Linked DNA regions of Danio rerio. The protein of the gene in region 2 purifies or fractionates together with the protein of the main gene of each other region. This does not show direct contact. Links are inferred from orthologs where the notes say so. Each region holds a gene or a part of one and is shown on either strand. Other genes may lie near its edges.

The links.
Region 1: the proteins of neurl4 (region 2) and znrd2 purify together in Homo sapiens (co-immunoprecipitation; 4 studies listed by BioGRID and IntAct, with this or other methods). This does not show direct contact. The link is inferred for Danio rerio from reciprocal best matches to the Homo sapiens genes NEURL4 and ZNRD2.
Region 3: the proteins of neurl4 (region 2) and cep290 purify together in Homo sapiens (affinity purification with mass spectrometry; 3 studies listed by BioGRID and IntAct, with this or other methods). This does not show direct contact. The link is inferred for Danio rerio from reciprocal best matches to the Homo sapiens genes NEURL4 and CEP290.
Region 4: the proteins of neurl4 (region 2) and cep97 purify together in Homo sapiens (affinity purification with western blotting; 4 studies listed by BioGRID and IntAct, with this or other methods). This does not show direct contact. The link is inferred for Danio rerio from reciprocal best matches to the Homo sapiens genes NEURL4 and CEP97.

What each region holds. Positions count from the first base shown.
Region 1 is NC_133185.1:31,772,988-31,780,746, forward strand, and holds the start of znrd2 (protein ZNRD2), read left to right. Parts: upstream 1-3,611; 5' UTR 3,612-3,680; coding exon 3,681-3,696; intron 3,697-5,344; coding exon 5,345-5,496; intron 5,497-7,754; coding exon 7,755-7,759. Other genes in the region: solute carrier family 35 member F4, read left to right, coding at 1,467-1,556, 1,674-1,918. UniProt on the Homo sapiens protein: Might play a role in mitosis. Antigenic molecule. Could be a centromere-associated protein. May induce anti-centromere antibodies.
Region 2 is NC_133187.1:24,243,678-24,251,484, forward strand, and holds the start of neurl4 (neuralized-like protein 4), read right to left. Parts: upstream 4,634-7,807; 5' UTR 4,607-4,633; coding exon 4,442-4,606; intron 1-4,441. UniProt on the Homo sapiens protein: Promotes CCP110 ubiquitination and proteasome-dependent degradation. By counteracting accumulation of CP110, maintains normal centriolar homeostasis and preventing formation of ectopic microtubular organizing centers.
Region 3 is NC_133200.1:18,915,999-18,923,322, forward strand, and holds part of cep290 (centrosomal protein of 290 kDa), read right to left. Parts: intron 6,066-7,324; coding exon 5,910-6,065; intron 5,801-5,909; coding exon 5,677-5,800; intron 5,557-5,676; coding exon 4,672-5,556; intron 4,450-4,671; coding exon 4,315-4,449; intron 2,938-4,314; coding exon 2,851-2,937; intron 2,771-2,850; coding exon 2,606-2,770; intron 672-2,605; coding exon 549-671; intron 1-548. UniProt on the Homo sapiens protein: Involved in early and late steps in cilia formation. Its association with CCP110 is required for inhibition of primary cilia formation by CCP110.
Region 4 is NC_133176.1:199,053-207,088, forward strand, and holds cep97 (centrosomal protein of 97 kDa), read left to right. Parts: upstream 1-3,329; 5' UTR 3,330-3,339; coding exon 3,340-3,397; intron 3,398-3,735; coding exon 3,736-3,884; intron 3,885-4,157; coding exon 4,158-4,316; intron 4,317-4,396; coding exon 4,397-4,498; intron 4,499-4,581; coding exon 4,582-4,695; intron 4,696-4,866; coding exon 4,867-5,030; intron 5,031-5,394; coding exon 5,395-5,553; intron 5,554-5,652; coding exon 5,653-5,765; coding exon of another isoform or gene 5,766-5,795; exon of another isoform or gene 5,796-5,818; intron 5,819-6,061; coding exon 6,062-6,500; intron 6,501-6,712; coding exon 6,713-6,788; intron 6,789-7,036; coding exon 7,037-7,324; 3' UTR 7,325-7,734; downstream 7,735-8,036. Other genes in the region: rpl24 (large ribosomal subunit protein eL24), read right to left, coding at 921-1,057, 1,444-1,554, 2,913-2,988, 3,114-3,118. UniProt on the Homo sapiens protein: Acts as a key negative regulator of ciliogenesis in collaboration with CCP110 by capping the mother centriole thereby preventing cilia formation. Required for recruitment of CCP110 to the centrosome.

The DNA.
Region 1 (7,759 bases), on a different chromosome or scaffold from region 2:
TCTCACCGCTGCCACTGACTTGCTTGGTTGGGACTCATAGAGCTGTGCATCGATGGATTTGCTCTTCAGTCTTTGGACTTTCAGCATTGAAAATTAAACCACACTGAACTGAACTAAACTGAACTTCAACTCTGAAAACTGGACTGACAGTTTTAATTTACTTGAACTTCTATGTTAAGCTGCTTATACACAATCTACATTGGAAAAGCGCTATAGAAATAAACATGAATTGAATTAAATTGAACAGTAATTTTTTAGAGTAATTAGGCAAGTCATTGTCTAACAGTGGTTTGTTTTGTAGAGAATCGAAAAAGTATTCCTTAAGAGGGGTAATAATATCAACAGGGTGTCTGCGGGGTCTTAAAAAGCAAAAGTGTAGGCCTTAAAAAGTATTTAATTCACTGAAATTTTGTGTTGTAGGTCTTAAAACATTTTTAACAGGTCTTAATTTTCCTCTGTCCAAGTAAAGCTACCCAATAAGTCCAACATCCATCTAATCACCAATAATATAATATAAGTTTTATTATTGCATAGAGATACAATCGACAACAGAAATTTTTACAGCAAATTGTCAAAATGTAATTCTCTAATCAGGGAAAGAAACCTAAAAACAATTATTACATTCCACATGATAATAACAGAGCTATATGTCCCTTTACATGATTTTCCAGTTACACAAAAACTATGTACAAAAGTAAGGGGAAGCAGACGTAATATTCATAAACAGGCAAGGAATAGGCAAGGTTTTATATAGCCGAAAATTATTGGGTTGAATAGAAGTTATACTCAATCCATTCAGACAAATAGCCACAAATATATATTTTTGATCATTCATGTAATTGTGTCCGTAATAAATAAACTATTAACAATGGTTAAACTTGTCTTTTAAAAATAAATAACAATAAAAAAATAAAAAGTATGTACAACTAGAGTTTTCTTGTTTTGACAAATTCAAATAAGCAACAACAACCAGACCATTACAAAAAAAAACTTTAGTGTTTAGCCCTGTATAAGTCTAAAAATTTCATTCAAAACGGTCTTAAAAGGGTCTTAAAAAGTCTTAAATTTGACTTGTTGAAACCTGCAGAAAGCCTGTATTAACCTTAAATGTTTTTTAAGAAATTAAAAACTGTTTTTATTATAGCCGAAATAACAAAAGTCTTTCTCCAGTAGAAAAAAAATGTTCAAGGAAATATTGTAAAAACTGTAAAAGTTCTTGCTCTGTTAAATATAATTTGGGAAATGTTTGAAGAAGAAAAAATTCACTGGAGGGTGAATAATTTTGACTTTAACTATACATTTATGTGCAGTTTTTGATTGGCACTGAGTGTTAAACAATAGTATACAATAAAATCATTTACCTCTATATAACTCTATGCTTTATTAATGTTATTTGTCATCATTTGTAGTGATCAGATTTTTAGTTGTTCTCTTTAACAAACTTTGTCTTTATGTTTTTATTTAAGTTTTCAATCTGCTGGTAAATCTGGGAGAAATGTTTACGTACCCCAGTTTAATTTCCCTGGGAATTCTCTTGACAATCCCAGCAAGTGCAGGTATTTTTCATGGAAATAAATTGACAAGTAAACATTTTAATTATCTTGCTAAACACAAAGAGAACATCATTTATTGTCTGATAATTGAATATAGCGCTTTCTTCTCTTTCTCATAAGCTGTGGATGGCTTAGTGACGTTAACTCTGCAGATCAGCCATGTGCGAGCAGCGGCCGCCGGCATCATCTCAGCTGGATATCTGATGCTGCAGCTTCCAGAAAACTGGGATGAGAGCACTTTCCGCTGGCTCAGCGCACTGTGGCGTGGAAACTGGCGAGAGGACAGTATTGTTGGAGAGGAATCTATGGTGGACACTGCTGGGACTTTACGAACAAAAGCCAAACCAGCCGTAGTGACTCTCTAGCTGAGCCTTAAAAATGCAGGATTTTTTTGGCTTCATTAAATCCTTGAAGAAAACAAAGACTTTTCAATGTTCTTTGGATTTTAACCTGTCCTTCTAAGATATGAATGGTTTATTTAGGAACTGTTCCTAGTATGTTTTTAATGGTTTTACCATATTTGAATACTTTGTTGAAACCTACATGAGTGCTGGTGACTTATAAAATATTTTTAAATATTTTTTTTTTATAAAATCTGTAGGAATGAAGTTTTAATATTATCCAATTTCTGAGTACTGGGTTGTGGCTGGAAGGGCATCTGCTGCGTAAAACACACTGGAATAGTTGACAGTTCATTCCGCTGTGGCGACCCCTGATAAATACAGGGATTAAGCCGAAGGAAAGTGAATGAAGGAACATTATCAGTTTTGAAGTCTCCAACCTTAATCCCTCTAGTGCTGTTCAAATTTGCATGAACGTTTGTGCTAATACCTTTGAAACTGTAAGAACTAATAAAAATGTAATTATTGTCTCCTCTAATTTCTTGGCTTCAAAGCATAGTTCACCTAAAAATGAGAAGTCTGTCATCATTTACTCTCCCTTCACTTGTTTAAACCTGTTTAATATGAGAAATTGCAATGATTTGTGTAGTAAGACACTATGGAATTTGCTTGCTGTGGAAGTCAATGGCTACGGGTTTTTAGTTTTCTTCAAAATTACTTATTTTGTTGTCAAGAAACTCAGAAAGGTTTATAACCACTTGAGGATAAGTAAATACTAAATAGTGAGGACAATTAGATTTTTGCAACGAATTAAGAAAAGTTATCATTCGTCATATGTTTTCAGTCATTTTGTATTTTTCCATTAATAAACCCTCTTCTGTGGGCTCATAAGGTAGTGAAGTGTCCATCATGTGCGAACTTCTTAGTATTCTCATCTGTCAACTGGTTTGGGTGTAATACTATAGCACACATACCGTTTTTCACATACGGTAATATAGCTGACAAAGCTAATGCTATTTGTCCACAACTGTTGTGTGTTAACCATAACCAGTGATGATTTGCACAGTTTGAGCCCTGATGAAAATCCCAAACTTTACTTTTTCTCACCATAAGACTGTGTGAACTACACATTTCCAAACCATGCTGGCAACACCAACACCTGAGGCTGTATCTTTGCAAGACTGACAACGCCACACTACACTAGTTTGGTAACAGCATCACCTATTGGTCAAAGTAAACTATGAAATCAAAGTGATTTTCTTTATTCACATTAACTATGTATTAATTAGGCTAATATTAACCTGATGCAGTGATGGTAATGTTTAAAAATAAATTATAGAGTTGTGCAGAAGGAGTGATTTTATTGTTTAGGAGCCTTTTGAATTTTTTTCAAAATCCACTTTCATTATAAAATGTTATTTTCTGCATTGTTAAGACCCCAGATGTCTAGGGCTAGAGAGAGGCGTAACTGCATATTATCAGTTAAACAAATCAAGCAGGTAGTTAGAATATTTAGTTGACTGGAAACCAAGAGATAGTGAAGAACATTCTTTATTTTCCAGCATAAACTATGTATTTTTTTATGTGTCTAAATCCAGATTTTTTTTTCCGAACGAAACAAATAATCCTGAGATTTTCAGAATGAAGGGGAAAAAACTGAGCAATAGGACCTACATTCAGCTCGCTAGATGGCGCCAGTCAGTTTTCATAGCACCTTCCACATTTCACCGCTGAAGTTTCGAGCAGGAAACGTTATCTGTGTTGTGAGGCGGCTGATGAAGAAAGCATGGCCCTTAACGCAGGTAAAATGTCAATAAACTCACATTTAGACAAATCTCTTGTTAAACTCCCCAATTTAGTACCGAAATAACCCTTAATCACTAACCTCCAGTCGTGCTATAGTAACGTTAGTACACGTGCAGCTGCGCTAAAATAACATCATGTTACGTTAGCAGGTTAGCCCCTCACTGTCTGCATTTCTGTACTGGCATGTGGCTTTTATTTCATTTAAAATATCGAGCTTTCTCTGTGTCTTTGCCTATTATTGACTCGTAAAGTTCCACGTACAGGAATCGCACGGGTGCTGAAAATACTTTAAATGCTGGAATTTTACTCTTGTGTTTCAAGGTTTAAAATGTACTTAGATTATGGATAAAGTACTTTAAAATGCGATTGTTCCTTTCATAATAATTTATCTTACTAAGCTGGTAATAATAGTATGAATAAATTAATTATAATAAAGATATGTAAATGGATGACAGCATAACTAAATGTTGGGGTTGGATCAAACCTGCTATCACATATTTTCCTTTTATTAAAGCTAAAAAAATAAAATTAAAAACGAAATTTTTCACATAGTATATTAATTATACTATAATTTACTGTACTATACTCTAGAATAGCTTCTGATATAATGTGATGAAGTGTTTTTTTTTTTTTTTTGCATATAGCACAAATTTAATTAACAACTACAGAACAGAGCACAAATAATAATCAAATCAATAAGATTATAATATAAATAAATACAACTTTAAACAGAATAGACACACAAACACATTCAAAAAAGAACTACCTGGTCGTCTATTAATTAAAATGTTTTCAATAAACTGAACTTCCTAATTTTGATTTTACCAACTTTAAAGCTTTACAGTATAACCAAAATTCCTTTTGGAAAACCCAAAACAGTGGTTTTGTTTTCAGGCACTTGCATTTATGAACATAAAATTTCTCCAAAATTAGAATATTGTTCAATACAACTTGAATATTAATATCTTCCCCTAATAAACCAAAGATAATATCATTTTTAGAAAATTGGGAGGACATCTTGAGAGAAACTTTTAACCACTCAAATGAATTTGTCTAGAAGGTTCTGCTGTATAAACAGTCAAAAATAAATATACAGTCTCTGCAGATGGTTAAATATCATTGAATATTTTAAAGTGTACTTCTTTAGCTTTGAGGAGGTATGGGGAAGGAAAGGAACATATTCCCTAATTCGATAATAGAGCTTATTATCTGAATACACTCTGAATAAAATCTTCTCCATTCATCAGCAAATAAGGTACGTCATTTTTATTGGGGGCCACAGTACTAACCATTATTACAAATGCCTTCAGAATAGATTTCAATACCCTATTGAATTGCTTATGATCACATTCAAAGTTATATTTTTCACAAAAATTTCCAGTAACTCAGAACCTCACCCTCTTTGTTTAATAGATGGACACTCAACCAAATACCTCTCTCCCACCAATCTTTATAGAAAGGATTTTTTTCTAAATATAATTAATGTGATGAGGTGTGCAGACGTATGTAAATATGTAATTTTCCACACTTTATAAAGTACTGAAAAAGTTTTAAAACACCTGGAAAGTGCTTAAGTGGGTGTGTGAATTAAATGAGCATTCGTCCATAAACAAGAGCATTCTGTGTGTGTTTTCCTGAATCCAGATGATGAAGACTTTGAATGGGAGCCTCCCTCTGAAGCAGAGATGAAGGTGATTCAGGCTCGCCGGGAGCGGCAGGATAAGATCAGCAAGCTGATGGGAGACTATCTGCTGAAGGGGTACAAGATGCTGGGCGAGTGCTGTGAGCTGTGCGGGGTGAGAGAAAACACCATACACTCATAGGAGACTCCAATCAAATCTGTGTTTTATTTAGTGCAATACAAGCTAGAGCCTTAATTTAATTATTAAATATGCAGTGAGGTACTGTGTTGTTAAGTTGTAGCCATGTTTGAATATTAAAACTTGCGATAATGACAAAAGATGACGTGCAATATTTTCAGTTCAGAATGTCTGAAAGTTTAATAATGTTTTTAATTAGTTTAGTTTATTTATTTACAAAGCGTAATAAAAAAAAAATTTTTAAGTTGTTGACCATTGTGCTGTACAAACCTAAAAGCAAATGATCAAAAATAGACAGCAACAAGTAAAACAACATAGAATACATCCAACATACCACACAGCATCATAGATACATAACAAGCGACCAGATAGGTACAATAGGATTAATTTTCTCCCAATTTAAAAGCTATTTCAAGGAGGTGTAGTTTAAGTTTCCCTCTGAACAAAGATTCAATAGAAACTTTTCTAATGGACGAAGGTAGCCTGTTCCACACTTTAGGACTTACTACAGAGAAAGCTCAATCTTCTTTTTTTATTCAATTTGGATCTGGGAACTACTAGCATTTTCTGGTTCGATGACCTTAAACATATGGCAGATATTTGAACTAATAAGATTAGAGAGATAAGTCAGAGCCTGGCCTTTTAATACCTTAAAAACAGACATTAAAATTTTAAACTCAATTCTAGGTCACAATTTAGGAAACACGGGATAGGAGTAATGTGTTCAAACCTGCGTGTACCAGTAAGAAGCCTTTTAAAAAGCCTTTCACTTTGGCTGATAATCTCAGCTGAAAAAAACCAAGATTTAACTACTGCATCTACCTGTGTGTCAAATAAGAGGACAGAATCTAGGATAAAACTTTGATTTCTTAAAGATGGTTTAATGCAGTCTGCAAAATTGATTCATTTGATTCAGCTTTCCCGAGCCAGCAGTTGGGATGCATTTTAACTTGATCAAAATTGAGAGCTTTGAGACTTTTATAAAGTTTACAGTTGCAAATAAACACTGTACTCTGTTTATTCATCATGAAGCTATAAAATACAATGTGTTTCATGGATGTCCGAAAATAACTGAACAAAAAAATGAAAATAACTGAACGAAAATAACCTGTTTTTAATAATCCCGTCACATTTCCACTTTGTTTCTTTTTAAAGGCACTGAATAAATGCATGTTCGCCTCTTTTGAATGATGAATCAACATTTTACAAACCTGCCTCAATATTGCTGGGCGATATGGTAAAAATACAATATCAATTAATTATTTTCCACATTAAACAATAATGATATACATGTGTATATATATATATTTTGATTTCAGTTGTTATTGCTTCTGGATTTAAGAGTATCCCAACAATGACTAAAGCCCCAAAAATAAGAGGGTACATTAAATAGCATAACCTGGACGTAAATTTGGTGCATCCCTAATATCAACACAATGGCTAATCAGCACTGCTTAAAAACACGCTCAACTGTTAACGGGAAGTGTGCGTTTTCAGTATCAATTGGTACCTGATTGGCTCTTAGATTATATAGAGTAAAAAAGTAAAAGTAAAAAAAGTCATTGTTATTGACAAAAATGTTATCGCCATACGATATAATATCGTTTATGCCTTAACATTATAATGTTTACCTTGTTTTAAGACTGAAGTCTTAATGGCCCACATCTAGTATTTTTGCATTTATCTGCAGTGCCTTTCTGTAATTCAGCTGTTTTGCTTTTGTATTTTTACAAGGTCTCGTCTGACAACAATTTTTTTTTGAGTATCCAACATCTATAAATCAATCAATTTTAGAAAAAAAGACATTTAAATGAAAAATTACAATGATTTTCATGTTTAATCAGTAAAAAATACTGTTACTTTTAGTTAAAACTATGCAGTAAGGCAATATCTAATGGTACACAAACAACAAAAATAGTATTAAATATTGAATATTTACGGAATATTGAGTAGAGGCGGGGCTCTCTTTTTGCACAACATTTTTTCATAGGAAACTAACAGTAAGGGGGGGCGTGGCTAAAAATATTGTGACTGAAGCTGTCAAACTGACATCAACAGAGCCGGACCGCCACTCCAAAAGCAGATGCAGACTACCAAAGCAAAAATCATTAGCATGGATTCATTGTTCACCTAAAGAATAACAAAATAATCATTGTACATTTTTTCTCACAGACTTTAATTGTTATTACTTATTACAGTGTTTAAAGCAAAACAAAACTTCCATCTATTTGCAGACGAT
Region 2 (7,807 bases):
TTTTCCAATATCGTGCAGCCGGTTTTAGGTACTAATATGTACCCTGAAGGTTCTTGGATGAAGCATTTAAGTACAAAAATGTAATATTTGAAAAGGTATCATCTAGGGCTACACAATATATCATTTGAGCATCGAAATCACAATATGTCAGATTTTTCCAATATCGTGAAGCCCTGGTACCATCAGTGACAGCTTTATAACTTTATTTTTGAGGGTGTATTACAGTTCAGACTCCGAGATAATCTGCTGGCTGTAATGTTGATGTAAAGCTAACAACCACTATATTATGAAAGAATATGTGTATACTACAGACATTTGCTTTCATGTTTTGTTCTACAACATTAGTTAAAAACACTTCAAGCTAATTTAAAAACAAGTGTTTATTAAAAGCATAAGCAGCTAATATCACAAGAAAACTGGAAGATCATGTTCATAAACCGAATTCTTGCATAAATACCTATTATTAAGTCTCTAGGCTTTCTTCTAATAAAACTAAGAAATAAAAAGGTGATGTTTTATAAAAAACATGGAGGCGGTTCATTTCACTGTGGCAACCCCTAATAAAGTGGAATAAGTAGAAGGAATGTGAGTGAGTAAGATGGAAAGGTACTTATCTATACTTCTAATAACAGATAAACATAAACTGCAAGTAGGAAATACTAATAAACAATGAGTGTGCATTATTCTCCAGTAATTCAAGCCATTAAAGTCAGTTAATCCACTAATAATACTAAAACAAATTGCAAGAAATTTGTTCAGATTGTTCAGAGGTTGCGTTTCAAGACAGCTGTTAGGTTTTATCTTAAAATGCACATTTGCAGGACTAATTGCGTATGCATCTCGTCCCAATTCCTGCACTGGCAATTTCAAAAATGCCATTTTAGAGCTGGAATATGAGGCTTGAGCCACTGATAGCAGACTAATGCAGTTATTAGAGAAAGAGCGAGAAAGATTCATGTAAATTGCCATATACTGTATGTGCCTTTTAAAGGAGTCTGGAGTGTCTGCTTCAAAAGCAGCACTTTACAGTATTTCACATCGATTCAACAGAGCAGCAGTAAAAAACTATTTTTATGAGTCTGTGTCCCTACTGTATACGTGCGTTTGTGTGGAGAGCAATAGAAAGAGTTTTTCATTGATAATTAAATGTAATTTTGTGACAAAACCAGAAATAATCTGTCATTATTATACTAATAAAAATTTTGAGATGTAAACAAAAACAACAGTCCCAACGTATTTCCCGTATTACATTTTTAATTTCTATAGCTTCAGAAAATTCAAAAAGAGCCGCATATTGATAAATAATGTTATGAGAGCTGTTTTAACATTAAGTTTTAATTTAATTGCCTCTTGTTACAGTTATGAAGTAGTTTGATAACAAGCAGGAAATGTTCATGGGCCAATGACATCACCACGTTGAAATAGTCTATTGATTAATATATATACTAGTATATATATGCTTGGTTTGCTGTTGCAGGCTGTAATGACCTTTGAAAAAAACTTAAATCCTTTGATGAAGTGATTTATAAAGAATAATGTGTGAAAAAGAATGATGACAGTCCACTGAGTTATTAGACAATTATGCACAACCAGGGTTGAGATGCTGTTACACCTCAAGCATGAATTACTTTCCTAATAATTAAACAGGCCAGAGTCAATTATTAAGCTTCTACAGTTACCACACCTACAGAATTACTTCAACACATTTGACAGTTTTTTGTCCTAAAACTGCTCATGAAGGACTAGTTTAAATGAGTATCATCCAAGCCTCTGTTGGTAATCCAAAAATGTCATTTTAGATCTAGTAAGGGACATTTAAGTAACTGCTAGCAGGCTAATGCAGTTACTAATATTAATACAGTTATTAATATAGTTATGGTAGGGAGAAATTTGGTGTGAATTATGTTATAATAATTCGGGTGGGGGGGGGGGGGGGGTTGGGGGGGGGGGGGGGTGGGGATATAAATATATCATTGTAAATATACTGATTATTTTTGCTGTTATTACTGTGTTATCCTAAAATTTTAATTGTTAAATGTACAGTTTGTTCTGATCAATTACTATTTTTATTGTTATAAATATAAATTATATGATGTATTGAATAATAATGTGATATACTGAACAATAATATGATATATTGAATAATATGATATATTACATTGTTTTAATTTGATTATTATATATATATATATATATATATATATATATATATATATATATATATATATATATATATATATATATATATATATATATATATATATATATATATATACTTTTTTTAGTACTACTACTACTGTTTAGTGTTTTTATTAGACATGCATGTTCTTTTATTTTTATGTAAACTTTATAACTGCTTTGGCAATACATTTGTAACATTTGTCATGCCAATAAAGCAATTGTTGAATTGAATTGAGAGGTAAGGAAAAAGAGAGTAGCTAGTTAAAAAAAAATTACATTTTGTTGCAAAAACGACAACAATCAACTTTTAAAACGACTGTTCAGCATATTAACTTTGTTAGTGTATATAGTTTTTTTGCCCGTTGTAATCAAACTAGGGCTGGGAGATATGGCAAAAATGCAGTCTCAATAATTTATTCATTTTCTTTACGGCTTAGTCCCTTTATTAATCTGGGGTCGATACAGCGGAATGAACCGCCAACTTATCCAGCATATGTTTTACACAGCAGATACACTTCCAGCAACAACCTAACAATAGGAAACAGCCATGCACTCTTACATTCACACTCATACACTCCAGACAATTTAGCTTACACAATTCACCTGTACCGCATATCTTAGGAATGTGGGGGAAACCCACATGAATACAGGGAGAACATACAAATTCCACACAGAAATGCCAACTGACCCAGCCGGGGCTCTAACCAGCGACCTTCTTTCTGTAAGGCGATTGTGCTACCCACAGCACAACTGTGATGCTCACAATCTTGATAATTATTTTCCATATTGATCGATAACAATATATATTTCAATATCAGTAGTTAATGAATCTAATCTAATCTAATGCTTCCAGATTTAAAACAGTACCCCAACAATGACTGAGGCTACAAAGATTAGTGTCAAATAAATGCCATAACATATTTTTGGCTGATAAATTTTCGGTAGGTGAAAATTTGGTACATCTCTAATATCAACACACTTTAAGATTCCTATTGTTGCACATTTCTGCTGTGTGATTGTCTCTTAGATCAATATAAAGTAAAGAAAGTCCAGAGCATATCATTGTTATTATTGACATAAATTTTATTGCAATTCCATATAATATTGTTTATCAAAAACAAAATTAAACTGTTATTAAACTGTAACAAATCTTTAGAATTACCTAAAATGTTTAGTGCAGTGATATGAAACTGTAATGAAATCAGGATTTATTGTAAATATTTTAAACCGTTTCTTCAAAAATAACAGCACACCTAGGTCCGGACATCCATTAACAAATCTGAATGTAGCATTCAAGAACACCATACAATCAAAAATATTACTTTTGCAAGCTTGTTCAAGCTAGCTTATTTAAAATGAGTTGAAACAACAGAATTCTTATGTTTTTGGAACAACCTAATTGTTTTACGTTCAAGCCACTTAAATTTCTAAAAACGATTACGCTAACTTAATCAATTTTTTTGTTCATGAAGGAATTATGTGAAACCCAGCATTTTTACAGTATAGCATGTGGAACTGCAATGCACTCAATACCTGCTTGGAACTACTTCAGTTATATGTTGTTGTTTTTAATAACTACACACCTTAGAACACTTATCAACCAATCAGAATCAGGCATTCAACAACCCTCTGCTACAGTAATACATGCAATTCAGCGTTGTCCGCTTCTTAAGAGGCCTGAAACAACGTTCCCAGTTCCACTTGTTCTCATTAAACATTCTCGATTTGATTTGGTCAGTTCTATATATCTAAACTATTCATTTGAATAAATACCTCAGTGACTCATCATAACACTAAAAGACAGTCACGGGATGTAACCTGCAGAAGGGGTCACAGGACCAATCGATTACCGAATTCAAGAGAATCGATTCACCGGACTGTACCAAACCGTGTTTACATGACCTTCCGAGCGAACATACAGGCTAATATTTCCCCAAATACGCTGTGCATAACTAGACAGCTGTGAACAGAGCAGATTCGTCTTGTTAACCCCATGACAGTCCAGTAATAGCAAGGCAGGAGAGCATCCAAACATCAACAGCTCTGCCACTGACAAACCATGACAGATCACCGCAAACCCGCAGCACACGCACATCACGAATCATCCACACACCTAAACACCCCGCATGACCTCTGAATGAGCTCTGTCAGAGCCTCGTGCCTCAGTAATGAACCACTGCAGACGATCTGACAGACTCCCACCCTTTTCTCCATTTCTCCCTCTCTCCCTCCCTCTCTCTGGTGGGACATGCTTGTTTACCTTCTTGTCGATGCGGACAGTGAAGACATCGCGGTCCCTCAGCGGCTCCCGACTGAGGACCAGGCCGTGATTGAATTCCTGTACCGGCTGATTCCGTTGAGCGGTTCGGTTGGAGTTCGACAAACCGATCAGTTTTCCGCTGCGCGGATGCAGCTCAGCCGCCATCTTCGCACGGGCGGCGCGGTGCACGACACCGAGCGTAGTTTTGCGACAGTGGGGAGACGGTTGTAGGTAGTTCGCGATTGGCTATGGGTATATTGCTAGTGGTATGTATCATAGACATAACCAGACTTAATATATCAGCCTCAACTTGATAAATGTGTACATGCTCAGAGGTATCAGTAAAGACAATTCTTATATGCAGTTGTAAATGAAATGCTGCTAACGGGCAAGGGTCGAAACTGGATGAATGTGCTGTAGGTAATATGTAAATATATGCACACATGCTCATTATGTATTGAACAACACTCACACGAGATCTCAGCTTCAATTACAAAATATCTGAACTTAAAGGCCTTAATTCGATCTTCATGAAATTATAGAACATTTAAAAGGACTTAAATAAGATAAGAAAGTGTTACATTTATATGCACTGCCACAACAACTAAATGTGAAAATGACTTTCTGTTTAAATAGATTGTGTCCATTAGCAAATATTTGTTTGTTATCATTTTGGTAAAATTAAGTCATTAAGATCTATAAGTACTTGTATTTGTATAGTGTAAAATTATTCGTACTTAATGTTTTAAATTCACCTTCATAAAATGTGCAGAAATAATTGTAGAGTGTACATTTATATAAAAATGTCTGATATTTATTTTTAAAAAGCTGCCAGTGTTTTAAAATTGTGAACTGTACTACCTTTGTGTGAAATATTCTCTAGATGGCAGTATTTTACAGCTAAACTGACCTAAACTGATGAATGCATCCACAGTATGTTGTCAATTAACAGGGGAATTATATTTGTTTCAGGTTTACTAAATTCTTTCCTCTTCAATAAATATTAATTCTAATTAATATTTCTCTATATTAATTCTAATTAATACGTCTCTAATAAACTGCTTTACTTAATGAAAAAATTTCTGACTTATAACTAGGGCCAGACAGAATCTGTGGACATTTTCAAAAAAAAATTTGACATATGGGGTATGTGAAAGTTTCACATACACAAAGTAACAAAGTAAAAGTAGTAATGTCAATTATTCCCTTCTTGCTCTGTTAAGATTTAAAAATATTTTATAATTTTTTGACCTCAGTTACAAGAAACAAGAAGGCTATAAAACATCTCTAATAATGAAAAAAAATCTATACAATCTAATCATTTAAATATTATGGTTTCCCCTATATAGTTGAAGTCAAAATTATTAGCCCCCCTTTGATTTATATATATATATATATATATATATATATATATATATATATATTTCATAAATTATGTTTAACAGAGCATGGAAATTTTCACAGTATGTCTAATAATATTTTAATAATATAATTTTTTTTTTCTAATTTGTTTTATTTCAGCTAGAACAGAAGCAGCTTTTATTTAAAAAAAAATTAAGGTCAAAATTATTAGCCCCTTTAAGCAGTTTCTTTTCTGAGTCTACAGTTTAATACAGTCTATTACCCTAACCTGCCTAGTTAACCTAATTAACCTAGTTAAGTCTTTAAATGTCACTTTAAGCTGTATTGAAAAGATTTTTTTCAACACATTTCTAAACATAATAGTTTTAATAACTCATCTCTTATAACTGATTTATTTTATCTTTGCCATGATGACATGAAAATGAAATTCTTTGTAGTCAATAAAGGTATATATTTAAAAGCAAGAAATATGAATAAATGTATATTTTGATTAGCTATTGCATGTATTATATATGGCATGTTGTATCTGAACAAAAAGACAATCTAAGTTATTGCAATTAATTTAAATATAATTAAAAGATACTTTGTGTGCTTTTGAAAATGCTGCAGAAATGTCAGATGTGCGAGTAGGATACATTTAATACAAAAGCACAATTGCTATCAAATTATGTAAGTTAACTGTGAAAGTGATGACCCATTCCATTGCAAAACAAAGGAGTAGCATCGAAAATAATATTTATGCACGTAACCTGCACATTTGATTGCAGCTGATTTATTTTGTTCTCTAAAATATGGTCATTAAAAAAAACATTTGCTTTTATATGTGTTTGCAAACACATTTCAGAAGAATTTTCATTACAGTGTTTAATGTTCTGTCGTTTTTAAACATATTTTAATGCTCAGTGTAACATAATTGACATTTAATACTTTTTATATTGTTTATTAATACATTTTGGAGGTTATAATGACTGACTAAAAATTTAGCAGTTTTAAATAGCCCTTCCTGATTTGATCAAGAGTTGAGCCTGTCGGGATGATTGTGTTAAATCTCTACAAAGTGAGTTCATTCATTGCTTCTGTAGGACAGCTGTGGGACGACACCGCTGTGTGTTTGTACGCTGCCCGATCAAGATCAATGACCTGACCCTGGACAACGATTTTCTCCAGACACCCACGCAGGTATGGATTACTTTTTGCCACCTCGCTGTCACCTAAAAAAAAGAGAGAGTTCATGGACTCAATTGAAAAAGGTAGGATTTGTTAAATAGACTCCCTGCACTAAGCTGACAAATAAAGAATTTAACAATGACCAATGCGGATGTTGCTGATGGAGTAGTTTATCACGGAAATTCGTGCTCACTTTACCTGGCACTCCCCCAAATGTCAGGAGCATCCCATTTTTCCACATGGAGAGAAAGTCCAGAGTTTCCGATTTAACCTTTGGTTTGCTGTTTACCACAAGTGAATTTTTCAGTATAGTGAAAGTAAGTGTTGCAGGTTCACTGGGAAATTCGGTTGATCCATCTTTCAGGCCCAACTGTGAAAAAGGGTGTACAAAAATGTTGTGTGTTTAAAGCTATAACTGAGCAATTCCATGCAAATGTCAATCTTGCAATAAAATAAACTAAACTTCACCAAAATACAGAAAGTTTTTTGTGGAAGCAAATATTTTATAGTACTTTAGAAATACTCAAAAATGTCAAACTATTATATTGGATTTACTGAAGTCACACAAGTGGCAATTTCACATCCATAACGACACTTTTTCCTCATAAATGCAAAAGTCTTAAGTAAAATAAAACCAATATTTTTTGTTCTATAAACCAACGTTTATACTTTTGATGAGCATTATTTTGGGGGGGGGGGGGGGTGGGGGGGGGGTTGTGCAGTTTAATATACAGAATTTCTACAAAGTATGTTGTTTACTGTAAACTCGCTAACTTTTTTGGTCACATCCATAACGCATGTTTATTTTGTCTGTTTAAAGTACAAAACATTTTTAGA
Region 3 (7,324 bases), on a different chromosome or scaffold from region 2:
ACATTGCCAAAAAAGTATCTTTTAGGGATGTATGCCAAAAAAGTATCTTTTAGGGATGTATACACAAAAATTATGTAAATTTTTTCAACAAAAATTTGAAAATGTTTTTTTTTTTGTACTTTGGTTGTTTTGTGGGCCTTGAAAACAGGTTATATTTTAAAGTGCAAGTTCGTGACAACTTAACCATTATTGTCTCAATGAAAATGACAAAAATGTGTATTATATGTCTATTCTATTCTCTACTATTCTCTACTCTACTTCATGACCTTATATGCACCATCTACTAGCTTGCATCCATATTACAGCATTATTTTCTTGATCAGTACAAACATAATCATTTTTAAAATATTGTTCTGGCTGTGCATTCATATTACAGCTTTTTTATTGCAGACCAGTTTGAATAAATGCTGTTGTTTTGAATGAAATGTTAAAAAAAACCATAAGGAAAAGTTTGCCATTTTTTTGTAACACTGTTTTTGTGTAAACACAACCTTAGATATTGAGATCATATCTAAAAAATTTACTTATTTGAGGAAAAAATAAAAAACCTTTTTAATTTCTTTTCGTAAGCGTTCATTTTCCATCATGATTTTCTCAATGCCCTTAGTTTTTGACTCGAGTCTTGAGTTCAGCTGTTCCTCTTGTTTTCCTTTTAGCTTTTCATATTCTGACTGTAGCAAAAAAAGAGAAAAGAGCTGCATATTAGTACAGAAGATAAATAAAATTGACAAAATTGAGAGATGAGGCCCATGGCGGTAACAAAAACATAACAACTGAACAGCTTCACTGATATGCAACATAATTTAACAATTTAACAGTTCACAATTTAAGGTGCTTGGCTGTAAATGTTGCTGGCTGATTTCTCTGTGTTACATGACTTTTTGGGAGGCTAACTAGCTTCCCACATATAGATAGGTGTTTTTTTTCTGACTTGTTCCAGTCCTTGACATTTTAGAAAACAGCCTATAGTAAAAACTAACTTCTTTCTGAATAGATTGACATGGCATATTAATCAAAACAAACGGTCATAAGAATAACAAACATGGAGAAATATTATGCAGTTCTGAATGTGTATTACACAGGTGATTGGGTTTGACAAACCACTTGTAGGAGACACTCTTCCTCTCCATATGCACCAGACATTTTCTTATAACAAGGTCTTAAAAGGACTGGATTTTGATTTTAAAGCATTTATATATTGCTTTTTTAGCTTATTTGAAGTTCTCCTTTTATCCTTATTTGTTGGTCACTTTGCATAAAAGTGTCTGGTAAATGTGCAGTGGGGAAAAAAGTATTTAGTCAGCCACCAATTGTCCACATTCTACCTCTTAAAAGGTAAGAGGCCTGTAATTTTCATCATGCATATACCTCAACTATGGGAGACAAAATGAGAAAAAAATAATCCAGAAAATCTAAGATTTTGCAAAATGTAAGATTTTTTAAGAGCTTATTAGATCTGGAGATCTGAAGACAAGCTGGGCCACTCCCGGACCTTCTTACAAAGCCACTCCTTCATTGTCCGGTTGATGTTTAGAATCGCTGTTATGCTGAAAGACCCAGCCATGTTTCATCGTCAATATCCTTGCTCATGGAAGAGGTTCTAACTAAAAATCTCACGGTGTGTGGACCCATTTATTCTTTCTTTCACTCGGATCAGTCATCCTGGTCTCTTTGCAGAAAAACAACACCAAGGCATGTTTCCACCCACATGCTTCACAGTAGGTATGGTGTTCTTTGGATACAACTCAGCATTCTTTCTCCTCCAAACAAGTTGAGTTTTTACCAAAAAGTTATTTTGGTTTCATCTGACCATACATACATACATACATAAGCCATTCTCCAAATCCTCTTGTGGTTCATCCAAATGCTCTCTAGCAAAGTTCAGACAGCCTTGTCATGTACTGGCTTAAGCAGGATTTGAGTCCCTGGCGGCGCAGTGTGTTACTGATGGTAGCCTTTGTTACTTTGGTCCCAGCTCTCTGCAGGTCATTCACTAGGTCCTTGTGATCATTTTGACGGCATGAGCTGAGATCTTGCATGGAGCCCCAGATTGAGGGAGATTATCAGTGGTCTTTTATGTCTTTCGATTTCTAATAAGTGCTCCCACAGTTCATTTCTTCACACCAAGCTCCTTACCTTTTGTAGATTCAGTCTGGTGCAGGTCTACAATTTTGTTTATGATGTCTTTCTGGTGAAGTTTGGAGTGTGACAGGTTGTGGACAAGTGTTTTTTATACTGATAATTAATGCAGGTAACGAATGGAGGACAGAGGAGCCTCTTGAAGAAGTTACAGGTCTGTGAGAGGCAGAAATCTTGCTTGTTTGTAGGTGACCAAATACTTATTTAACAGATGAACTTAATAATTCATTCATAAAGAAATCCTACAATGTAATTTTTTTTGATTTTCTTTCTTATTTTGTCTCTCAAAGATGAGGTATACTAATTATTAAAATTACAGGCCCCACTCGTTTTTTTTAAGTGGGAGAACTTGCACAATTGGTGGCTGACTAAATACTTTTTTGCCACACTGTACATACTGTCTTTAATTTTTAATAATATCTGATTTTTAAATGTCACACAATATTAACAGGTTCACAAAATATACCTTAAGTTTCTCATGGTCTCGTTCCAGCGTGGCAAGTTGCTCCTGCACGTTGACCTCAGATGTCTTTTTTAAGTTCTCATTCTCTCTCTGAACTTTCTCCACAACCTTCTTCATCAGTCCAATGGTCTTCTCTAGCTCAGGTATGGTTTTCCCACTGCGGCCGGACTGTATGAGAGGAGCATACATTAATGGGAGTTGAAAATTAAACAGTTTCCAGATCTCAGAAGTTCTGCTACTGTACCGACCCCACGAAGATGACTGAGTCTCTTCTCCACTTCAGCTTTCTCCTTCTTCAAAACACTGCACATCTCTTTGAGGTCAGACACCTGATCCTGCCATTATAATGGGTGGGAAGGTAAAAACAATAGATTATGTAATGTAGATTAACCATTTAGGTTAAACAATGCAGGTTTAATTAAAATACATTTTTACAGTAATTAAAAAAAAGGAGGGGGGTGGGGGATGGGTATAGTCATTCAGAGTAGTGTGGGAATAAAGTGTCACAGAATGAAAATCTCGAAATACCTAGGCATAGCTGAATATTAAGACAACAGTATATGAAAATTATGTATTCAGAGCCCCGAACCCAATTGAGTCCTCATTCTCATGTAGATCTCAAAAGTCTAAAATCATTAATCATTAAAATATTCGTATTACATGGTCCCAAGCTGCATTTGAATGGCCATGTTTCCTAGTGAGATTAAAACAATTATAAATTTCCTTATTTTTTAAGTTTAGTGCATACGTTTAGAGGTGGGGAGACTAAAAAGGAGCAGTTTTGTGAAGTAGTCAGCCATGTAAGACCATGTATAAGTGCTCACAGCTCGTCAGATAGCAAAATGCAGGATATACGGATTATAAATGTATTCAGTGAAACTTCAAAGAGCAATAAGGTCTATTTAAAGTATATTTTGCTAGTTTAATGTGTATATTTATAGTTTTCTGTGTTTGTTTGTAATGAAGCAACAAACATTTTTAAACTGCTGAGTGATTAATGCAAGTTTATGCATTGTGCGATCACTCAGCTCTTAATGTAATTTTCTTGTGTGAATAGATCTGTTCATGCAGAGGTTGAAACTAACTCCTGTTTATGTTTTCAAATACGTTAAAGCTTTAAAATACAAAAAAGCTTCAAAATCTCTTTTGTCATCCAAAATACAACTCAGGAGCAAATTATGCTTTCTGTTGACATAAAGACAGATCACTCCATCCATCCAGCTACACCAAACCTCTCTACCACTTCAGTTGAATAGATTGTTAACAAGGCATTTACTCAATTTGTAAAAATATTTTATTGACTAATGAAGTATGATTATTTTGCACGTGTGTATTTCAGAATACATCATGCTGTGTGTGTATGTGTCAGAGCAGAGCTCATTAATATTAACAACCATTCTATACATGGTCAATATCATGCTTTTTCATTAAGGGGCTAAATTCTGTGGTTAATAAAATGAGCATTTACATTGTTTCTCAAGAATTTCTAAATTTAGTTAAGCAACATACATGTTTTGTAGATAACAGAGAATCAATCTATGCAATGGCACCTTTAAAACTTAAATTTTATTACAGTAATTATGCAATCTAAATTGCAGTGTATCATCTTTTAGCAGCATCTCTATAACATATCTATAAAGTCTTTGTAAACATCTAAATACCCCGTCCATGTTAGTAGAGTCATGCTATTAATAACAGAGATTTCACAGTACTTTTAATCGAGGCAGGTCTTTGTTTGCTTGCTCCAGTTGGAAACGAAGCTCCAGGTTTTCTGTAGACAACCTGAGATTCTCCTTTTGGAACTCATGCTCTCTTTGGGATGGGGTATCAGAACCTCGACCAGATGTCTGTAGAAACAACAAAGAGTTATTGACAACACACAGCTAAACGATACCCAAACCACAAAGATATTTTAGATGCAGACAGGAGAGGGAGCAATGCAAGCACTAAAGGACAACAGCAAAGCAGACACTGCAGGTCTTTAAATACAACAACACAAACTCAAAACCAACACTGTTATGGGGTGGAGAAAGCTGGAAGCTCTGAGGGAACACCTATGCTTCAAGTACCTTTCGAGCTTTGCTTTTCATTGAATGTTCTTTGTCATTAAGCCTGGTGACCTTTGCTTTTAAATGTCCAAGAATGTCATTTTCAGTGTTTGCATTCAATTCTCTACTAGGGGAAACTTCACTTAAATTAGGGTTAAAACCTGCTTCAGGAGTAAACGACTTGTTTTTCTCCATTGCTGGTTGTTCAGAGACAAGTTTGGCATCAAATGTGGTTGAATTGCTGAGAGCTGTTTCTTCTTCGTCAAGCTCTTTAGATTCGGCAGATGGATCACATTCACATTTCAAAAGTTCTTCAGGCTCTTGCCCATAATCTTCATCACCCTCAAGAAGAACCTTTGGTGTCTCTAGCTCTGCTTGATTCATAGTGCTGTATAACATTTCTTCTGCATTTGTCTCTTCATTTTCAACTTCCAGCTGATCTTCATCCAAAGGTTTTTCCATCATCTCTCGATGTGTCAGTTCTGACTCAAGCTGTTCTGCCTCATCATTAGTCTTCAGTTCTTCCTGAGCATATTCAAAAACTGCTACATCTTGCCCTCTTTGAGTGTCATCTGGTTGCTCTTCGTCTTTCTCAACAGATCCTTTTTCTTTATTGTTTTCTTTCTGCTCAGTTTTGTCATCCTTCATCAGAGCTTTTTGTTCCAGATCCACTTCATTCTTTGCTACATTTTCATCATCTTGGTTCACTTCTGCTGTGCCCATATCTATACTTCTGAAGGAAGTTTGAGTTGGTTTGTCCTCTATAACAGATATTTCCTTTTCAGTTACAACAACTGTGCTATTTAATAATGAGGACTGAGTTTGTTCAGCTTCGATTACATCAAAAGTCATAGAACGAACTTTTGAGGACCAACTAAGCTGAGATGGTGATGTTGAATGTCTGTCCTTTATTATCAGAGTTAAAACAGAAGGAATGGAGAAAGAAACAGATATGAAAGGAAGTCTGAAAGTGAAGTTAATGAGATGAAATTCATGATGGCACAATATTTGAAAAGTTGCACCTACAGAGGGTCTGGATGGAGGCTCTTTAGATAGCCGACTCTCCATTGAGTAAAGTCTCTCCTCAAGATAACGGTTTCTGATGGTGATATCCTCCATCGCAGCATCACGGGGTAAAGCCTGCTGCTGCCTATAAAACCATCAATTTTAAACATTACTCAGAATAACGCTGACAAATTTGATGTATTTGAACTTAGACACAAATGGGAAGAATGGAATGATTGCTAGGCAAAACTCACTTCATCACTTTGATTTGCTGCTCCAGTTCAGCATTCCTTTTGTGAAGCTCTTCAATCTCTTTGTCAGCCTCAAGAGTTCGTGCGCCAACAACCTGGTCAGCGGTCACTCCTCTACCCTTTAGTTTCTTCTGCAGACTCACCTTCTCCTGCTCCAACCTTCATAAACATCGGTCAACAATAACATGAGCGGGAAACTTCAACTTCTGTTCTTTCTTGTAATAAATTTTAAAGTTAAGCTGTCATACAATGAATTATTGGGATACACTTGGAAGACTTTTTTTGCTCTAAACCAGGGGTCACCAACCCTGTTCCTGGAAAGCTACCCTCCTGCAGAATTCAGTCCCAACCCTGATCAAACACACCTGAACCAATTAATAGTACCTAAAGCAGCACTTGATAATAACAAACAGATGTGTTTGGTCAGGTTTGCAACTGAAATGTGCAGGAAGGTAGCTCTCCAGGAAAAGGGTTGGTGACCCCTGCTCTAAACGTATCAGAAACCATTTTCCCCGTTTGTAAACAGATGGAGCATGGATGCACCAAACAGAAAAAAAAAAATTAAAATATGGAAAAACATTGCAACATATGGCAAAATCAGGAGTAAATCCTAAACATTAAACTTATGGTCTAGTTTGATATGAATGTCTTTTGAGGGAAAACAATTGTCTTTATAAGTTTAGATTTTTTTTAGTCTTTTATTGTCATCTTACTTCTATATAATGTATATTAAACCAGCGTTTATAAGCACAGAACTGTTTTATTCACAGCTGTAACTAAGTAAAAGCTATATCGCTGTCGTTACTTGAATGTCACCTACTACAGAATGTCATTTTGCATTTTCATTCAGCTGTTTATGTTTTGTGTGTGGCATAAATTTACCTCTTAATGTAATTTTACATAATATTGTTGCATCTTTGCTTAGATTGTGATTCAGTTGTAGTGGTTGCCTCCAAAATCAAATCACTGCAGTTTGATGTGTAATACTGCAAATAAATACTGTCTTGTTATAATCCTTTCTTGTCTGTTGAAAATACATTTTTAAAATAAATGAAGATCAGGGCATCCCTAATTTATTGTATAATGTAAACACACACACACGCACGCACGCACGCACGCACGCACGCACGCACGCACACACACACACACACACACACACATATATACAATTTTTTTTTTTTTTAAGCGCAACAAAAAAGAAAATGTACTCACTATTTACTAACCCTTAAGTGGTTTCAAACCTTTGAGTTTCTTTGTTATGTTGAACTTAAAGAAAGCTAAAAACCTGTAACCTTTGACCACTACAGTAAGAAAAACAAATACCATGGAAGTCAACAATTATAGGTCAACATTTTCAAAATATCTTCTTTTGTGTTTAACAGATGAAAGAAACTCTTAAAGGTTTGAAATAAGCAAAG
Region 4 (8,036 bases), on a different chromosome or scaffold from region 2:
CAATATATTTGTTTAATGGTCTGCAGAAGAAAATACTGTTACACAATGACTGGTCTATTTACCCTAATTAAGCCTTTGAATGTCACTTTAAGCTGAATACGAGTATCTTAAAAAACATCTAGTAAAATAGCCTATAATGTGCTGTCATCAGAGCAAAGATAAAACAAATCAGTTATTAGAAATGAGTTCTTAAATCTGTTGTGTGTAAACCGCGCTTTAAGCATCTCCACTGTATTTTTTATTTTATTATTGATTATTAATAAAAACAGTCGGCAGCAGCAGGAATATTGCGCGGTCACTTTAAGAATAGTGCGGCTCTGATACGGTTTCTCTTTCTCGTGTCTTTTGATTCTCAACTTGTTAGTTTATTACACAGATGAGGGTTAATATGAATAATCACTAAACACCGCGCTCTGACACAAGTGTGCATGTGTTTCACCATTAAAGCGCTCGCATTAAGATCGCATTAGATGTGTGTGCTCTGCTGTCCGAGGCTAAGCGCGGCACGTACGCAAACACACACACGCTAGCTATCTGAGGTTAAGCACAGCGCACACACAATAGCACGTACCCTTTTGCGCTTTTAAAAATGTGAATGATGCGCATCCCGTGCTGCACAAGTTACAGTACAGCACATCTTTCAGTCATTTTCACATGGAACTGAGCTTTGCAGAGGCAAAGAGTTTTCACACTTGTACAACTGGAAAGGGTGCGGTACGTGATGGAATAATCGTTTATCTCGATTCACGGCTTTTCATAATCGTTACAAGCCAAAATCAAAATCAGATTTTCGATTAATTGCACAGCCTTAGTTTGGAGATTTCCATGGTGACAGGAGCACCACTACAACTAGCATCAAGCATGACCACTGAATGAAGAGAGAGTGTGTGTGTGTGTGTGTGTGTGTGTGTGTGTCTCACCTGATGGCCTGCTCGCGCTGGGCTTTACGCACTTCAGGCTTCTGGTTCCTCTTGGCCAGAATCTCGGCCAGAGAAGCGCCGGTGATCGCCCGCTGGAACTTTACTGCACGACGTGTGCGCTTCTTCGACACCTCCTCCTGAAGAGCACAACACACACACACACACACAGGTCAGTGTACTTCATTAGAGCAGTGGGGTCTGCTCCATATCTCCAGCACATGACGTCTGCAGCCCTCAGCCTCCTCACAGGAGTACACGTCGCCCTTCACTCGCAGTAAAACACTCTCTGCATGATTCAGTGGAGACGAGAACAGCAGCGGTTGATCATGCTGATATCTGCTATGCTGGCTTCATGTTCTCCTCAGCTGCAGTATATCTCCATAAATCTATGATGTAATGTAAATGTACACAGGAGGAAACACACTCTTCTCCACTCCTGGACTACACTACCCATAATGCACTCTGTCTGAGACTATACACCCCCCGTGCACATGTGCCCGGTGAATAATGTTAATGAACTCACAGACTGGCCCTTCTTGTGCTTGCGGCGGTACAGAACGGTCCAGTTGATCTGCCTCGGGTTCCTCTTGGACAGAAACGCAGACTCACATTTGGCATTGAGGAACTGGAAAACCTGCAGTAGAAGAGCATCTCCATCAGAACACAGCAACATAATCAATAATCAATAATCACACATGGACCCCAGTGACCTGTGCTGAAGCGCTCCATGCTAAACGGCCCTCTGCAGACACGTACAGCTCAGCTATTAAAATCGCGAAAGAGCATGTGCTGTTGTGTGTGTGCACAGCGCTTAGCCTCGGACAGGTAGTGTGTGTGTGTGTGTGTGGGTGTGTTTGTGTAGCCTCGGACAGGAGAGCACACACGCACATCTAACGTCATCTTAACGAGAGCGCTTTAATGGTCAAACACATGCACATTTGTGTCAGAGCGCAGTGTTTAGTGATTATTCATATTAACCCTCATTTGTGTAATAATCAAAACATGTGAGAGAAACCATATCAGAGCCGCACTGATCTTAAAGTGACAGCGTTTCTTTTCTCTTTGACAGACACATAATTATTTTACTTGACATTTTTCAGGACACTAGTATTCAGCTTAAAGTGACATTCAAAGGCTTCACTCGGGTAAACAGGCAACTCATTGTATAACAGGAGGACAATCAAATATATATATATATATTGCCTAAGGGGGATAATAATATTGAGCTTTTAAAAAAGGTTTAAAAATATTCAAACCTGATTTTATCCTAGCCAAAATAAAACAAATAAGCCTTTCCAGGAGAAATATTATAGAAAATCCTGTCAAAATTCCTCCGTTAAACATAATTTGGTAAATATTTATATATAATAAATTAACAGAAGTGCGAATAATTTTGAACTGAAAATCGTTTTGAATAGTCGTGATTATAATTATGACCAAAATAATCATGATTATGATTTTTCCCATAATCGATCAGCCCTAACACACAATCTACAGCGCTCAGCCAAAACACTGGAGGAGTTCCTGAACACATCAGCCAGAGCATGCGGGATTCAGCACTTCACCATCAGCAGCAGGAGGAGGAAGAGGAGGAGATGCTCTTATATTAATAACAACGCGTACCACTAATTCTCTTACACACACACAGATATGTAGACATACATTTGTGTGTGTGTGTGTGTGTGTGTGTGTACACACACAGCTGATCGGCAACAGTCTTCAGCAAACCCGAACCCTAATATAACTCTAGAACAGTAAAGTAACCCATCATGCTGAACTCATAATGACGCTAAATTAGCCAGAGTAACCCAGTGTCTGTGTTAGCATTAGCAGCGGGGCTCGCCATTACTAACCCATCGCTAACTGTAGTTAGCCAACAGTATCGAACTACCCTGATGAATACGAATATTCACATAATAATAATGACAATATTAATAATAATAATGAGGATGATATTAGTGAGCTGCTGGTGTCGGAGTAACTCGGCTTTACCTTTCCGTCAATCCTGGCGTATCGCCGGCCGTGACCGGGATAGATTTTGTATCCGCTAAAACTGCACAGCTCGACCCTGCAGAGCACAAATGAGCGTCATTACAGACACGCCGCGAACATTAATAACTCATAAACACTTTAATCGGCGCATCTGTGAGGTTATATTGCAGATGTTTGGGGATGAACACAGAATACACTCACTTCATGGCGGCGGTTCAGACGGGGAAGAGGAAGAGGAATTGTGGGTAAGCGGTTTATAAAGGAGCCCGTTTCGTTAAAGTAAAATATTTTTTTGAAGTAAACATATATTTGACATAGGAATGAACCCTACTATTCTGTAAAAATATCCAAAAATATAAATATTTTCAGATTAAATCATCCAATGAAATCTGCGCTCGGTTGCCTGGCGGTGACACAAGCGGGAAGTATGGCGGCGACCGGAGCGGGGATGGCGGATCCGGTGCTGCAGATGCCGAATCACAGAGGTACGGCAATATCAGCCAATAATATTGCAATAATCCACGAGTTTGACTAAGCGGAGACTTTAAACCGCAGTGTTTTTCTGCAGACCGGCGATGTGTGCGGATTACCGAGTTTAACGGGGCGTGTGGGGTTCCGCCGTGTGTGTGTGTTTGTGTGTTTGTGTGTGTAAACTCCGTCATTCACTGATCACTGATCCGCTGCTCTCCACACACCTGCGGGAAAGCGTTTATTGGCTTGGTGTGTGTGTGTGTGTGTTACTGATGTGTGATCGATGATCTTCCTGATCGCTGTAGTGATCAATACTCCACAGCCGTGTTTATTCTGCGCTGTTCTCTTTCAGGTCCGGGGGTTTTAGACCTGTCGGCTCGGGGTCTGCAGCGGCTGGAGCCTCAGCTGTTCCGCCCGGATTCACACACACACACCCTGATCCTGGATCAGAACCAGCTGATGAAGCTGGAGCACCTGGAGCACAACCCCGACCTGCAGCAGGTGTGTGTGTGTGTGTGTGTGTGTGTGTGTGTGTGTGTGTGTTTGATGAACTATAGCAGCGTCTGATGGAGAAGATGAAGATAGAATGTGAGGATTCAGCAAACACGACACACTCTTAGTGCACTCAGTAGTGCTCCACCACACACTCACTTCACTCACTCCTCTAAGTGCACTACTGTAGTGAGTAAGGGTACAGGGGGTGATGTGATTTTGAAAACAGTGTGTGTGTTCAGCTGTGCTCGCAGTGATGTACGTGTGTGTGTGTGTGTTCAGCTGTCGGTGGCCTGTAACCGTCTGGTGCGCATGATGAACGTCTGCAGACTCACGCAGCTGCGGGTCCTGGACCTGCAGAATAACAGCATCGGCTGCATCGAGGGCCTGAAGGAGCTGCAGCAGCTGGAGCGCCTCAACCTGGCCGGGAACAACATCAAGGTGAGTGTGTGTCTGCAGCGGAGTTCACCTGAGCATACGGTCACACACACACACACACTCCTGCTCTGCTGTTTGTGCAGGTGATGGAGCAGCTACACCACTGCGTCTCCCTGCAGCACCTCGACCTGTCTGATAATAATATCTCGCAGATCGGAGACGTGTCCAGGCTCTCGGCGCTGCAGGTGAGTCCGCCGCCGCTCTGAATGATGATGATGATGAGGATGATGATGAGTGTACAGTAATATCCTGCTCACACACACTGCAGACGCTGCTCCTGCACGGAAACATCATCACCACACTGCGCTCGGCTCCTGCTCACCTGCCGGCACACCTGAGAGTGCTGTCGCTGGCGGAGAACGAGATCCGGGACCTGACTGAGGTACACACACACACACACACACAAACACACACACACATTCAGGCTCACACTGCCTCCTCCTGTGCGGTTCTGCATGTGAGTGTAGGCAGATGTCTGACCTGACCTCGCTGCACAGCTGAGGATGCAGATCTGTCCTGATGTGTGTGTGTGTGTGTGTGTGTGTGTGTGCAGGTCTGCTATCTGGCTCCGGTGCGGGGTCTGCAGCAGCTCTCCCTCCTCAGTAACCCGTGTGTGTCGTGTGTGTCCTCCGCTGTGTGTGATTATCGGCCATATGTGCTCAGCTGGTGCCTCGGCCTGGAGCTGCTAGATGGAGTCGCCGTCACACAGAAGGAAGGGTGAGTGGAGCTCGAGGAGGAGGAGGAAGAGTGCTCATTATTCAGTGTTCATGCTGTGATGACGTGCTGCAGTTTCTGATCTGTGCGTGTGCGTGCATGTGTGTGCATGTGTGTGCGTGTGTGTGTGCGTGTGCGCGTGTGTGTGTGTGTGTGTGCGTGCATGTGTGTGCGTGTGCGCGTGTGTGTGTGTGTGTTTGTGTGTGTGTGTGTGTGTGCGTGCATGTGTGTGCGCGCGTGTGTGCGTGCTTGCGTGTGTGTATGTGTGTGCGTGCGTGTGTGTGCGCGCGCGTGTGTGTGCGCGCGTGCGTGTGTGTGCGCGCATGTGTGTGTGCGTGTGTGTGTGTGTGTGTGTGTGTGTGTGCAGGCTGAAGGCGGAGTGGCTGTACAGTCAGGGCAGAGGGCGAGTGTTTCGTCCGGGCGAGCACACTCAGCTGCTGCAGTATCTGTCCCGCACGTGTCCCGCCGCCGCCCGGCAGCCCCCAGCAGAGGACGCCAAACTGGAGAAGATCCTCAACAAACAACGGTAGAGTCCAGACCAGCAGCACCGGCACCGCTCATAGCAGCACCGCTCACTGTGTGTGTGTGTGTGTGTGTGTGTGTGTGTGTGTGTGTGTGTGTGCAGGCATCATCAGAATCAGCTGCAGCATACACATCACCAGACTCCCTCTCGCCCCACACACCTGGACGTGCAGCAGCTCCACCAGAGCACACCTGATGAAGATGAGGAGGATGAAGGTGATGATGTAATCGCTCAGGCTGCTGTGTGTAAGATGCGGGTTTCTGTGCTGGTGTGTTTCCTATTCCCAGTGGTAAAGCACAGTACAGATGAGTGCGTGTGTGTGTGTGTGTGTGTGTTCTGCTGATGTTTGTGTGTGTGTGTGTGTGTGTGTGTGTGTGTGTGTGTGTTCTGCTGATGTTTGTGTGTGTGTGTGTGTGTGTGTGTGTGTTCTGCTGATGTTTGTGTGTGTGTGTGTGTGTGTGTGTGTGTGTGTGTGTGTGTGTGTGTGTGTGTGTGTGTGTGTGTGGTGCAGATGTGGAGCCTGCAGTTCGGGTGAACGCGTGGATGGACTCTGTGTCTCCACCCTTGGCCGCTCCTCCCCCCTCCGCTCCTCCCCCCGCTGTGGCTGCAGACGGGCTGCTCCTGCAGGATCTGGAGGCCCCGGGGCCGCTGGCGTCTGAATCTGCCGCTCCTCCGGCTTCAGCTCCTGACAGCGGAGAGGAGGAGTTTGAGGACTCTCTGGCTCCTCCCACATCCACTCAGCACCGTGCCCCAGGGGAGGAGCCAGTGTGTGGGGGCGTGTCCTCAGAGCATCAGCAGTGTGAGCCGCAGGACGCCGCCGTGAGGATCCAGAGCTGGTGGAGGGGCCAGTGGACTCGCCAGCGCCACCCGCAGGCCAGAGCGGTGCGTGCAGAGATACGCATGCGGAGGATGCAGGACCACATCATACACCTGAGCACACAGCTGGACAGGTGAACTGTTTGTGTGTGTGTGTGTGTGTGTGTGTGTGTGTGTGTGTGTGTGTGTGTGTGTGTGTGTGTGTACTTGTGAGGTAAAGTGGAATGAAGAGCGCTAGAGGTCAGAGGTCGGCTCATCTCTGCTCCGAGAATTGAAGATGACTCTAGTTGAGATCAAGCACAGCGTGAACTGAAGAGTGTGTGTGTGTGTGACTGCTTTGTTTCAGGGTCCGCCGGCAGCAAGAAGAAGAGCGACTGCAGAGACGTGTTCAAGAAGAAGCAGTGAAGGTTCTGTGGAAACAGGTCAGTGAAAAACACACACATAAACACACACAGACACACACACACACACACTCACACACACATAAACACACACAGACACACACACACACACACACACTCACACACACACACACACACACATAAACACACACAGACACACACACACACACACACACACTCACACACACACACACACACACACATAAACACACACACACACACACACACTCACATAAACACACACACACGCTGAACATCTGCTTCTCCAGCTGCAGGTGTTGTTGCAGTGGCAGGCGTCTGTGGACCAGCGGCTTAACACAACACACACTCCTGCGCTCAACAAGACACACACTCCTGCCGACAGCGCAGCACACACTCCTGCAGACAGTAGCACTGACACACACACACACGCTGATCTCTCGGTGCCGGAGTGCGGTTCTCCGTGTGTGAACAGCAGCGCCGCCTCTGGAGACGCGCAGAACTGCAGTCTGCTGGAGCAGTACCTGAGCTCCGTCCAGCAGCAGGACGAGGAGGAGCGCGCCGCACACGACCTCTGACCTCTGACCTGACCGCACCGAGGCATTATGGGATGTTGAAGGTCTCTGCCCTCGTCAGCAGTCGTGTATGATTAAACATCAGTTTTCTGCCAGTTCTCTTCAGTGCTGCTGACGGAGGCTCCCTAAGAAGTGCTGATGCTGTCTGAGTGCACTTACTGGTGCACATCTCTCCTTCACAGCCTGCAGCTGTAGATGAAGACGCCGCCGTGGAGTAATGTCAATGTGTTGGTCATCTGCTGCAGTTCAACCCCGCAGAGAGTTTAGCAGGCTTCAGTGTGTGTGTGTGTGTGTGTGTGTGTGTGTGTGTGTGTGAGCGCGCTCGGCATGTGCTGCAGCAGTCTTCAGTTGAGTGTTTTGTATGTCAGATGTTTTACAAATCATTTTTGTAAATAAAGTTTTAATTTCCTTCACCGCTGTGTGTGTGTGTGTGTGTGTGTGTGTGTGTGTGTGTGTGTGTGTGTGTGTGTGTGTGTGTGTGTGTGTGTTTATTTCCATCAGGAAGATTGGTCTAACACAGTGGTTCTCAAACTGTGGTACGTATACCACTAGTGGTACGCGGGCTTCCTTCTAGTGGTACGTGGAGGGATGCAATATGGCATGTACATGCTACATATATTTCCAAATTTATCAAAAATGATGTATATAGTATGCCATACATGACATACAGCCTATATTTCTGAGGTATTTTGCCACATTTTTTTAACTGTGCAGA